Linked DNA regions of Neurospora crassa OR74A. The protein of the gene in region 2 binds, or shares a complex with, the protein of the main gene of each other region. Links are inferred from orthologs where the notes say so. Each region holds a gene or a part of one and is shown on either strand. Other genes may lie near its edges.

Region 1 (5,389 bases), on a different chromosome or scaffold from region 2:
TGGACTCCAAAAGGGTTCGCAAAATGGAGTCATCGCCGGCAGCACAAGGAATGGGGGTCCCGGTCTTGCCGGTTCAAGAGCTGCCTCTAATGCGCCCCGGCAGCTGGCGGGTATGATCGGCGTTACGTAACCGGACATGGGCGGCGTGGGCCACTAAAATTCATCAAAGGCTCCAAAAGCGCCGGCGCACCGGGGGGCCGAACTTTTTGTCTCCATCCCATGCTCCCCCAACGGTAGTCATCCATATCATCCGCATCCGCCACCCAAGATCCCCCGGCTTGTTTGCAGCAGTTCACGACTGGTAGGGTTCCGGCCAGCTCAACACCAAGACTTATCACACATCATGGCTTCACCGGTCCCGATCCAGCGTCTCCAGGCGCCTTTGCGGAGGTCTCTTGCGCGCGCCGCCGCCCTGTCGACTCGGTCATACGCCACCATCCCCTCTGGCCCATCCAGCCAGCCGACATCGCAAGAGTCATCATCAGCTGCATCCGCATCCGCGCCCGCAACCAAGCCGCGCCCGACCTACTTTAAGGACACCACTCTCGCTTCCCTCGACGACTTTATCGCAAACCAATCGTCAGCCGCTCCTCTCGCACCCAGCGAAGCTTACACCCTGCGCACAGCCGAAGTCGGACCCGCCGGCAAGAAGCGTACCATCACCCGCTTGCCTGAATGGCTCAAGACACCCATCCCAAGTGCTGGCGCGAACCCCGAATTTGCCAAGATCAAGGCCGACCTGCGTGGTCTCAATCTTCACACAGTATGCGAGGAAGCTAGGTGTCCCAATATCGGCGAATGCTGGGGCGGTTCTAACAAGGCCGCCGCGACGGCCACCATCATGCTTATGGGCGACACCTGCACACGTGGCTGCCGCTTCTGCAGCGTCAAGACAAGCCGCAAGCCGCCTCCGCTGGATCCTCACGAGCCCGAGAACACCGCTGAGGCTTTGGCCCGCTGGGGTCTCGGTTATGTTGTGCTGACGAGTGTCGACCGTGACGATCTGGCCGATGGTGGTGCCCGACACTTTGCAGAGACGATTCGCCGGATCAAGCAGAAGAAGCCGACCCTGCTTGTCGAGGCCTTGACCGGTGACTTTGCTGGTGACTTGGACATGGTTAAGATTGTGGCGGAGAGCGGACTGGATGTGTATGCGCATAACGTTGAGACTGTTGAGAACTTGACGCCTTACGTGCGTGATCGCCGTGCCACATTTCGCCAGAGTTTGAAGGTGTTGGAACACGTCAAGAAGGTCCGGGGCAAGGAAGGCATTATCACCAAGACCAGCATCATGCTTGGTCTGGGTGAGACTGAGGAGGAGCTCTGGGAGGCTTTGAGGGGTAAGTCATACCAATTGCGCTTGCCCATTTGATGGATGCTGACCATGATGTTGCTTTGTAGAATTGAGGAAGGTCGACGTCGATGTCGTTACCTTTGGACAGTACATGCGCCCAACCAAGAGACATCTCGCGGTCGAGAAGTACATCACTCCCGACGAGTTTGAGCTCTGGAGGCAGCGTGCGCTTGACATGGGCTTCCTGTACTGCGCTAGTGGTCCTCTGGTCCGTTCTTCATACAAGGCCGGCGAGGCTTTCATCGAGAACGTCTTGAGAAAGCGCTCTGGCGAGAAGGTTGTCTCTGAGGCTCTTGGTCAGGCGGTTGCCGCCGAGGAGGCGACTAGCGTCCAGTCCTCTTGAGGCAGCTTATGCTAGATGTGGTTTGCGGAGCGTGTTTCAACATTTATAATCGGGATCTAGGCTTTCACAGCTATCCTGTGGCGGGCAAAATAACAGACGGATGACGGATCGGTTATTAGGCACCTTGGGGGTTGCATGCGTTTTGGCGTTAGGGGAGATTGGTTCTTTCGATTACTTTGAAAAAGACATTCATTCGTTTGCCGTGTCTGAATATAATATTGTAACAACAATTCTACACAGCGGGCATCGGGAGAGAGATTCCCATGTCCAAAAGGATGCATCATACAAACTCCCTCTGCCCACTGAAAAGCTTTTGAAGCACTCCTCATCATGCGATCACTTACTTATACGGGTATCTCAAAAACCCTGCGTACAGTGATACTTTCTTACCAACACGATGGCCCGAGCCCATCTGGGTTTTGAACAGAGTTTATTCGCCTCTGGGCGTACCGGCACCATCTCCAAACCACAACAAACCTCTGGGTTCCTTGTAGCCATGCTCTCTTTTACCAAGAGGCCTTCTTGACACCCGGAATGTTACCCATCAGGGCGTTCATACGGAAATTGTACTGTTTGCGATCCAACAGTGTTAGCAAGTCGCGCGCCTTTGCAGGTTTCCATCATTCCCATGCGGAGCTCAGCTCTTAGGACACCACTCCTTCTTTGAAGCAATCGATAGCGACATACTCTTGTCATCTTGAAGTCCCTCAAGATACCTCGACTCTTTCCACCAAGGATGCAGCGGTTCCGGATCTGCGTGGGCCTGGTGTAGGCATGCATCTGGGTGAGCTGGAGCTGGGCGACGGCCCTGGTACGGGCAGGGAGGGTGGTGTTGCGAATAACGTAACGCAGGGCTTGTCTGTATCATAAAGCAAGGAGTCGTCAGATCGTTTGTGCTTATTATAGTCGCAAATAAGGATCGCAAGGCGTAGGTAGTTACCTCTCAGGCTCGGCCTCCAAAAAGGCCTTGCGCTTGGAGTGGTCACGAAGGACCCGGACGTTGGTGAAGCACCCGAGGTCGAGCTTCTTGGCACGAAACATGGACATTTTGGCGGTTTGGTGTTCTGGGGCAGATTGGCGGGCTGAGTCGGAGATGGGCGTCGATAGCGGCGGATCGAGGCGCGTAAATCGATGTCACAGGCACTGCAGTCGTTGCTTCCCTCCGGCGTCGTCGCCCGCTAGCCGCAGTCACTCTCCCCGGCTCCCACGGCGGCCAGTGGCCTGTGCGCTTGCCGTCCAGCCCTGCCGCGTGCGGAACGACAAATTCTGCCGGGCGGTGTCATTTTCATCGCAGGTTGCAAGCGCCAAACCAAGCAGCAACAAACACTTTGCCAGGTGTGCCAGTCGCACACCAGCTGGACGGCACTTTTTCTACGGGGCTCCACTCAAACTCTCAAGCTTGCAGCTCGTGCACAGGCCACATCTGGGCCTATTTAAGACTGGCCCCCCCTCCCAAATTTTTACCTGGTTTTTTCTTCTTTTTTTCTTTAGCTCTCTTTGCCTTTTGGCTTAGATCAAGTGTAGTATCTGTTCTTTTCAGTTTAATCTCTGAAACTGCTCTACGGAGTAGAATCGTGATTATTCTAATTTTTGCAACTCGGTCGGCATCCCTCTGGGCTTGCCTATGGTTGCCGACCACTGTGTCCCTGGTATTACACTGCCTCCAGGCGACGCGAACTCAACACTACTACTTGCTTTGTGCTCATCTTCACTTTTTCGTTGCAATCTCTGGCTACAGGCTGGGGGTGTGAGGAAGAAGGATTGTTTTGGATGGGTTGACTGAGTGGTGCCTTTCGAATCATTCTACCTACCAAAGATGTAGTTGTCGTATGCGAAACGAGTGTGTTAAGTTCACCCGTACCTTACCGAATACGTTGTTCACGGGTTGCAAAGGTTGATGCCTGCCGTTCGCATGTGACAACCACATCCACCACCACTTTCGTACGTTCGACGCACCCTTTACCAATGCCTTTGATGATCGCTGGTGTTTAGCAGTATACGTTCTATCAGTCTACGGATGATTGCTCTCGTTTGCAGCAACCTTGAGCCTGCCAAAAGAAACACCTGCATGTTGAAGCGGCTTTCGGTTTGTGTGCGACTGTTTCCTATGAAAATTGTTTGTCAAGCAAGTTATCTCTATGATGGGATGGGGAAGGTCTGGATGAGATGGGCAAGAGACCCTACAGTATGTCAACACCTTGACGGTTGCAATGTCATCGCGGTTTGGCCATTCATCTGAGGAGAGGGAGTCGAGTGTCTCGTTCGTTGTCTGTTTACCTTCTCATGTTCGCTCGTTAGTATCATCCCATTCCGTACTCCGACTTCGCCTATCTCGTTCTGTGCCTGAGAAGGGAAGAACAACTGCTGGGCTCCTTCCGTCCCATCTTCAACCGCTTCCGTGGCCTTCGAGTTTCTTCGCGATCCTCCAAGCAACGAAGTGTTTAAATACTCCTCGACGCGATCAGCGTTCTAGGCTATCCTTCCTCTCGCTTGCAACCGTCTTTTGACTCCTCCACAACAACGCACCCAGGAAACTCGACGACTTTCCAACATACAAGATGTTTCGTCGCCGTTGGTCAGGCCTTCCGGCTGAACCAAAGTTCGCCCCAGATCTCAAGAAGCTCAGGTTCGTGATAATCTGCCTAGTCATCCTTCCCACGACACTCACTCTGATATATCTTGTGCGTATAGTTATTTCATCAACGAGGAAGATGAAGTTCGCTACGTGCATGACCCCGACTTCTACTTCAAGTATTTCTCGACCAAGAACACGAGGTACAACGACTGCCAGCGCTTCGCATTCGACCGTATGTAACAAACTCCCTATTTCTTACAATAGTTTGAGCTGATACTGACCCAAATGTTGCAATCTAACAGAGGCAGTCAACCAAATCATCGACTCACGGCTGGAAGCCGAGGGTCTAAAGGAAGTCCTCCTCCCGCTCGGGGTTGCCAGCAAAGATGAACCTCACGCCAAGATCCGTCTCAGCGAGGATCTCTCTAGCAAGTCACGCGTCGTGATCATCTTCGGCCAGTCTTGCCAGGACTTTGGCATTCTGGCACACCGTGTCGCTAGCGGACAGGGTGGTCTCAACAAGGGCTCGATGGTGAACATAGTCAAGGCTCTCAAGCAGCAGAAGTCTTCCGCCACCGACGACGCTGCCCCTGGTATCATTCTCGCCAACCCCGGTGACCTCTGGTGGTGGCCTGAAGGGAAGAAAGGGCTGAGTGAATTTGCTCGTCATCAGATTCCGGGTAGCAGTCTGGTTCACTGGGGCTGGCACCACGATCCGGCGAGGAACAGCATTTCGGAGAATGCCAATCCGACGGAGCACCTCAAGTATATCTTTGAGAAGGTGGTGCCGCAGTTCGTCAACGATAAGGCCAAGATCGATGTCATCGCGCTTGGTGACATGTCGGACGAGGTGGAGCAGTATCTCGACAATGACGATGTTTGGGCGAAGATCGGACATAGGCTGAACGCTCTTGTTGTGCTGGGTGGCTTTTACGATATGCGTGAGGCAAAATGCCCGGGCTTCAAGAAGTTCATGGATCAGGTATGTTGCGCCTTCTCCTTCTCGCTGGGCCTTTGACCCAGTTTAAATGACCCAGCTAACGAAGCAATTTTCACACAGCGTGGGCGTGCCTACATCATGAATCAAGATCCCCTCGATACCCTTATCGCTGGCCCT
Region 2 (6,587 bases):
AGGCATCACCAAATTCCCTCCGTTCCTTCTTCACTGAGTCAATTCCTTTGACAATCATGATGTTTCCGCTCACATTAACTAGTTGTGACCTGTCGCAATCGAGCCACTACGTTTCCACTCACAAGACGAATTGTTGGCTAGTACCTAGAGGTAGTTATCAGCTCGAACGATAAATAATCCGTCTATGCAGTAGTGTAGGTCCATCGTCGTGACAGCATCCACTTACGTTTCCTTGGGTCATTACAATGGTCATGCACTCCATTTAGCAGCAGTTCAAGCGCTTACACTCGCATAATCTAAAGATATACGGCGTAACACCAGCCCATCGATGCATCGTTTGGTTTTCCCCCTCCCGGGACCGAGGCTAATAAGTCAACTGTCTGACTTGACTGAATCCACGATACATATGTACCCACAAAGTCGCTGCAAAATACTTGGTCGCACGGGCCACCCCCGGCCTTGAGGCCAAGATCGGACATGAGTTGAAGTTACTAAATCGATATACCAATTCCTAAATCTCTCATATCGAGGTGCTAGTTACTAGTCTCGAGCATTCAAGAGCATCAAACGTCAAATTCAAATTCGAAATCCAGCTGTTTCCCGAACATGGGAGATTGGTAGCGAACGCGCGCACGAGACCGGACTTTATCCTACAGGACAGCGGCCATTCGCATAACGGATCACAAAACAGCCCTCATTTCCTCCGTTACCCAAGCCTTGGGTTACGCGTCTAAACTCCTAAAAGCATTTTGGCATTCCCTTCTAAACAGTATCATGAATGACTCCAGCAATTCGTGATTTCTTCGCACTTTTCATCCTTTACCTTGCGGCGTAGCGGGGTCACCAAAGACGTAGTTGTATGTAAGGTACGTCTTCGGTGTGGGTAGAGGTAGCGTAGATTTATCAGCCCACACAATGGGTTGATCAGGATTGTCACTGAGCATGTCATCAAAACACACTGAAGCGATCCTGACTATTGCATGTATGAGGAGAAACAACAACTCCTGGGTTGTATGCTCTCAATGACAGTTAGACAAGAAACAGATTGTCCACTTAAAAATGTCATTGGAAAAGACGAAACCCATAAAATGTCACATCCGACTTCGAAACAGCTTCTAGAAGCATATTTGTCCTTGACAACAACCTGATAGACCACCACAGCCAAGTGTGTGTGTGTGTGTGTGTCTGTGGACCGGTTGTTGACGACTTCATCCTCAACCTCTCCAGTCATATTGCAGAAATATTGTGCAGCTTCCATAAAACCATCGTTATGTATCGACACCATCAAGTAGTGATTTCAGACGAGACGGGACCGCATAGGTCTCATCAGCTGCCAGAAGTCTCCCAATGCGTTCATCTGGCACCAATCACATCCACAAATTGGGTGATTTTGCCATGACAATCCAGGTCAAAGGGAGCATACTCTCGACCACCTCATACTACATAGGTCACTTATATACGAACGCGAACGTGAGCACTGCAGTGTATGGACCTCTGACTACCTATTCCGACCTCATTACGGGCCAAGCATAATGGGAATGGTGGGACTTGGGACAATAATAAAGCATGACAAATGGTTACCAAACACCATCTTATATAGGATCCTTACAGTCCCCCAGGGCCCTCGGGCGAGGATGCTGAACACGGATTGCACTCTGCCGCCACGGGAACGGAATCTGAAGTTCAGAAAACGCGGTTCTGACAGCGCGGCTAACCCACGTGTGCCCTGCAGTGCGTATCGTTCCCACCTAATCTGTGAGATGGGAGTTGTTCGGCATGCCTCTTACACATTGGATGTAACCCCCGGATGGTTCATGACTTGTAGTCGCACGAATCAGTCAACCCATCACAAGCAAAACCCATGTCAAAGTTGCAGTGATGCCGGTTGAAGAGGCCGGGCGTCGAATCGGTTTGCATACCTTTTTTTTCCATGGCAAAAAGAACCGTTGTAACCCCCCCAGCACACACATAGATTGTATTATACACACACAACAAGGTCGTGCCGGCCCCCCCCTAACACGGTTTGTTGAACCCCTCCTGTACAAGTACACGCGTGCTTGCCTGAGATCGACCTGTGCTGAACTTGGTAGGCCCAGGCGAGGCCACAAGCGAGACGGACACTCACATGCATATCCACATATAGAGTACGCACATGAGAGAAAATGCTTCCCAGAAAGAAAGGAGCTGTGATGCTGCGCTGGTGGGGAAAAAAAGCATCGCTCCATTTGACTGGTCGTTCGTGCATAAACCGAAACTGAGGCAGCATATTCACAATGCCCCCCCAAAAAACGAAACCCATCCAATAATACCGCAAACTGTAGCAGGAGGGCGATTATCTCTTGACCCAGGTAGGCATCTTTCTGGCCTTGACATGGCCGTGTTTCTTTCTTTCGACCTTCCTCGGGTCGCGTGTGACACATCCGGCTACAGTAAAAGAAAGAGGGACTTGTTAGCAAAGGTGCATCATCCCTACCTACCATACCGCGAAAGCCTGTATGGCGAGGCACAATCATAGAAAACCAAAACATGTGTAATGTAGTGCGAAGCTTACCCCTTCTTAACGCCGGCTTCAGAGCAGGCTCATGAGCCAGCAAGGCCTTTGCGATAGCCAGCGTAATGGCCTCCGCCTGACCCGTGGTACCACCACCCTCCACCTTGACCCAGACGTTGTACTTGTCAATGCGATTTGTTGCGCGCAAAGCCCAAACAGCGCTCTCGCGATCGTGAACCCGCCCAAAGTACTCGGCCAAGGTCTTCCCGTTGACCAGAACCTCGCCGGTACCCTCCACCACGAAGGCCCGAGCACTCGAGGCCTTTCTCTTGCCGACTCCACAAGCGCGGCCAAACTGGTCAATCGGGATCGGCTTGGCGACATTTGTAAAGGGTTGTACGTTGCGCCTGAAGCTGTCGAGCACATCCTTGATCTCTTGTGGCTTAAGGTCGGGGTGGATCGAGTTGAGCCGTTTGACGAGAGCCAGACACCTTGCGAACTCGGATGCCTTGACCTGCTCGCCGAGCTCTTTCCTGATATCCTCGAGCGTCTTCCAGGCCACGCGCTCGACGGCGGTCGCGGGGATGACAGGAAGGTCTTCGTACTCCTCCATGAGCTTTTCTAGGGAAAGATAGTTGTCGTAGAACCGGGGCGTCCGGGTGAAGTACGAGGGCGACACGGGGACGGCACGGGCATAGGGATGGAGTTTGAAGTTGTCTATGCTGAGCGCAGGGGCGGCGATGAATTGGCCATCTACGTTCGGGTTGTGGTCGTGGGCGTGGGTGGACAGGGACCTCGAGCTGATGCGCAAAGCGCCGAATTGCTGGTCAAGCGACTGCCATTGCGCCGACTTGGAACAGCCCTGGCGGGAGCTCCGAAGAGCACTGGTAATGCTGTGTCTAAGAGATGCCATCATTCATAAGCGGCTGTTCACCTCTCGTACATTATCGGGCCCCGAGGGCTACTGGATCGGGAGAGGAGTGGGATTGGGGTTCGGGTCGAGGTGTGGTCGGCTCGCCGATGGGTATCTTTGGGGCTGTCGGGGGCGAGGGCAGGTCCAGCGCGGGCAGTGGTCAATCAGGTCCGGACTCCGGGTCCCGTCTGCGCGTCGTGGGCCGTCCCGCGGCGGAACAATTCGCAAGAGGATTTTTCCACCCGGCAAGCGGAAAATGGGAGCTCGGACCACCCATGCTTCCCACTCAAGCACCGCACTCACTGGACCCGACCTCACCTGGGCTCCCGTCACCTTCCCCTCCACGCATGCGGCCCCGACAGGGGGACCATTCCGCCCGGCAGGCAGATAAGACAAGATGCCCGGCAATCAAGCGGCACCGTTTTCCATGGGCTGGAAGCCTGGCAGCCATCAAGGCATGGCACGAGGGAACTGAAAGCACAGACAGCGGAAGTGTGAATCACTGGCCGAAAGCATACCTCGCTAGGTACCATCAATGGAATCCCATCTGGGCAGCCTTCCACAGCCGCCAACGGGCCGGCGGGCGGTTAAGGTACTGAGCTCTCTCATGCATTCTGTCGAGTTCCAGCGCTGTGAGGTTCTGATGTGAGGGGAAGCAACCCAGCCGCCAAAACGGGATGCAGGCTCAGCAGCCAGGCAATTTCCCCGCCACTGCCGTGGCCGCGCGCATGCCCCACCACAGATAAAATTTCCTCTGTGTCTTCCCATCCACATCATCCATCGCACAGATCCCTTTTTATTTGCTTCCCCGTCACCCCTCTTCTTCCCAAACCCATCTTTCCTCATCATTGATCAAATTATCAAAGATGGCCTTCGGAAAGCTTTACACCTACGAGGTAAGATGAGCAGAATTCAGAGATTGCGGCGCTCGTCTTGACACGGCGGGCGCCTGCGGACGAGCGCCGACATTCTAACAGATTCTGCTCACTAGGCGAACCCCCGCTCCACGGCCATCTTGGCTGTCGCGAAGGCCAACAACCTCGACCTCGAGGTTATCAAGGTCGACCTTGAGGCTGCCATCGAGGAGTACAAGAAGGTCAACCCTCTCGGCAAGGTCCCCACCTTCGTTGGTGCCGACGGCTACACTCTCTTCGAGTGCATCGCCATCGCCATCTATGGTACGTTGACAGAATATGTTGGGCGTCAAGCAAGACTGCCCTGCCCCGCACTTTGAAACACGCATCAACTTTGCGCCAGATACCCTCTGATGTGCTAGCGCACAACCCCTTGCCCCTTCGACCTGATGACCGAGACATTTTTCAAACAGTTATCCCTATCTGAAATACGGTGTTGACTTGGTTCTAACTTCTGACTGTCGAACTCACTCTTTGTCCTCCTGCAATTGCCACGTATCTTGATTGGACAGTCATGGCTAACGGACAACAGTCGCTTCCCAGAACGAGAAGACCACTCTCCTCGGCAAGACCAAGCAGGAGTAAGTTTATGATCGAGCATCCAAACCTGTGCAATCACTTGCTAACGCGTGGTTCAGCTATGCCTCCATCCTGAAGTGGCTCTCTTTCTTCAACACCGAGGTCCTTCCCCCTCTTGCTGGCTGGTACCGCCCTCTCCTTGGCAAGGCTCCCTACAACAAGAAGGCTGTTGAGGACGCTCAGGCTACTGCCCTCAAGGCCATCTCTGTCGCCGAGGCCCACCTCAAGAACAACACCTTCCTCGTTGGCGAGCGCATCACCCTTGCCGATCTCTTCGCCACTGGCATCATTGCCCGCGGCTTCGAGTTCTTCTTCGACAAGGCCTGGCGCGAGCAGTACCCCAACGTCACCCGTTGGTACACCACTGTCTACAACCAGCCCATCTACTCGGCCGTTGCTCCTCCCTTCGCTCTCCTTGATACCCCCAAGTTGACCAACGTCGCCCCCAAGAAGGCTGAGGCCCCCAAGCCCGCCGCCCCTAAGCCCGCTGCTGCTCCCGCCGCTGCCGCTGAGGAGCCCGCTGAGGCCCCCAAGCCCAAGCACCCCCTTGAGGCCCTTCCCCGTGCCTCTTTCCCCCTCGACGAGTGGAAGCGCCAGTACTCCAACGTTGACACCCCCGAGGCCCTCAAGTGGTTCTGGGAGAACGTTCCCTTCACTGAGTACTCCATCTGGAAGGTCAACTACAAGTACAACGATGAGCTCACCCTCACCTTCATGTCCAACAACCTGATTGGTGGCTTCAACAACCGTCTTGAGGCTTCTCGCAAGTACCTCTTCGGCTGCGCCTCCGTCTATGGCACCAACAACGACTCCGTCATTCAGGGTGCCTTCGTCATCCGTGGCGATGACTGGAAGCCCGTCTTCGACGTTGCTCCCGACTATGAGAGCTACGAGTTCACCAAGCTCGACCCCCAGAACCCTGAGGATCGCGCTTTCGTCGAGGCTGAGTGGTCCTGGGACAAGCCCGCCCTTGTCAACGGCAAGGAGTACCCCCACGCCTCCGGCAAGGTCTTCAAATAAACGATACCACGAACAAATTAATTTAAGGAAGGAGGTTATACCAACAGGAGTTTACTAGACTACGGGATTTTATGATGACTTGATGAACAAATATTGATGGGTTTCGAAGGACAAGCCGTTTTTGCCCCTTTTTCTCATGAGCTCATGTGTATCGCTCGCTGATGGATAGTCGTCGCCGATGAATGAGTCTTTAGTAGATGCTAGTAACCTGTCGAAATCTCCGATAAAAGTTGTTTTCATGGCCAATTGCTATTCCATTCCCGTAAATGCATAATAAAGTGTGGTGAACCATGCATGTTCCATGAAAGTTATCCTCATTTCGAAGTCGTATTCGCTGTAACCAGTCTAGTCTACCGGGTATGATCATGTCCAACCGAGAACTCCCATCTCATTATTTCCTATGCTCTATCCTGAACATTCCTATTGAGCCGCAGCTGGAGTAGAAGCGAGAGCAACACCCTCGTGTCCGGTTACGGCCCCGCTGCTATCCTCGCTGATGTTGAATGGCTTCACCCTGATATAAGTGCTGATATCCGCCTGGTGGGCTAGAATGTTAAGATATTCACGCACCATCGGCAGCACCTCCGGCTTCTCGTTCAAATCCCCCACAAATTCCGGCAGCGTAATGCAGTTATACGGCTCGCTCCTCGCCTTCTCCGCACTGTCGTCA

Evidence for each region.
Region 1: NCU03827 (region 2) and NCU00564 share a complex: the UniProt entries of both Saccharomyces cerevisiae proteins name them as parts of the mitochondrial small ribosomal subunit. The link is inferred for Neurospora crassa OR74A from reciprocal best matches to the Saccharomyces cerevisiae genes MRPS9 and MRP2.

Annotation. Positions count from the first base shown.
Region 1 is NC_026501.1:7,985,242-7,990,630, forward strand, and holds NCU00564 (mitochondrial 37S ribosomal protein MRP2), read right to left. Parts: upstream 2,950-5,389; 5' UTR 2,745-2,949; coding exon 2,638-2,744; intron 2,557-2,637; coding exon 2,385-2,556; intron 2,267-2,384; coding exon 2,204-2,266; 3' UTR 1,848-2,203; downstream 1-1,847. Other genes in the region: NCU00565 (lipoic acid synthetase), read left to right, coding at 344-1,340, 1,402-1,697; NCU00563 (hypothetical protein), read left to right, coding at 4,256-4,323, 4,389-4,504, 4,575-5,254, 5,333-5,389. UniProt on the Saccharomyces cerevisiae protein: Component of the mitochondrial ribosome (mitoribosome), a dedicated translation machinery responsible for the synthesis of mitochondrial genome-encoded proteins, including at least some of the essential transmembrane subunits of the mitochondrial respiratory chain.
Region 2 is NC_026505.1:2,535,050-2,541,636, reverse strand, and holds NCU03827 (mitochondrial 37S ribosomal protein MRPS9), read right to left. Parts: upstream 4,040-6,587; 5' UTR 3,408-4,039; coding exon 2,552-3,407; intron 2,425-2,551; coding exon 2,333-2,424; 3' UTR 1,470-2,332; downstream 1-1,469. Other genes in the region: NCU03826 (elongation factor 1 gamma domain-containing protein), read left to right, coding at 4,271-4,300, 4,396-4,582, 4,851-4,899, 4,957-5,917; NCU03825 (hypothetical protein), read right to left, coding at 6,338-6,587. UniProt on the Saccharomyces cerevisiae protein: Component of the mitochondrial ribosome (mitoribosome), a dedicated translation machinery responsible for the synthesis of mitochondrial genome-encoded proteins, including at least some of the essential transmembrane subunits of the mitochondrial respiratory chain.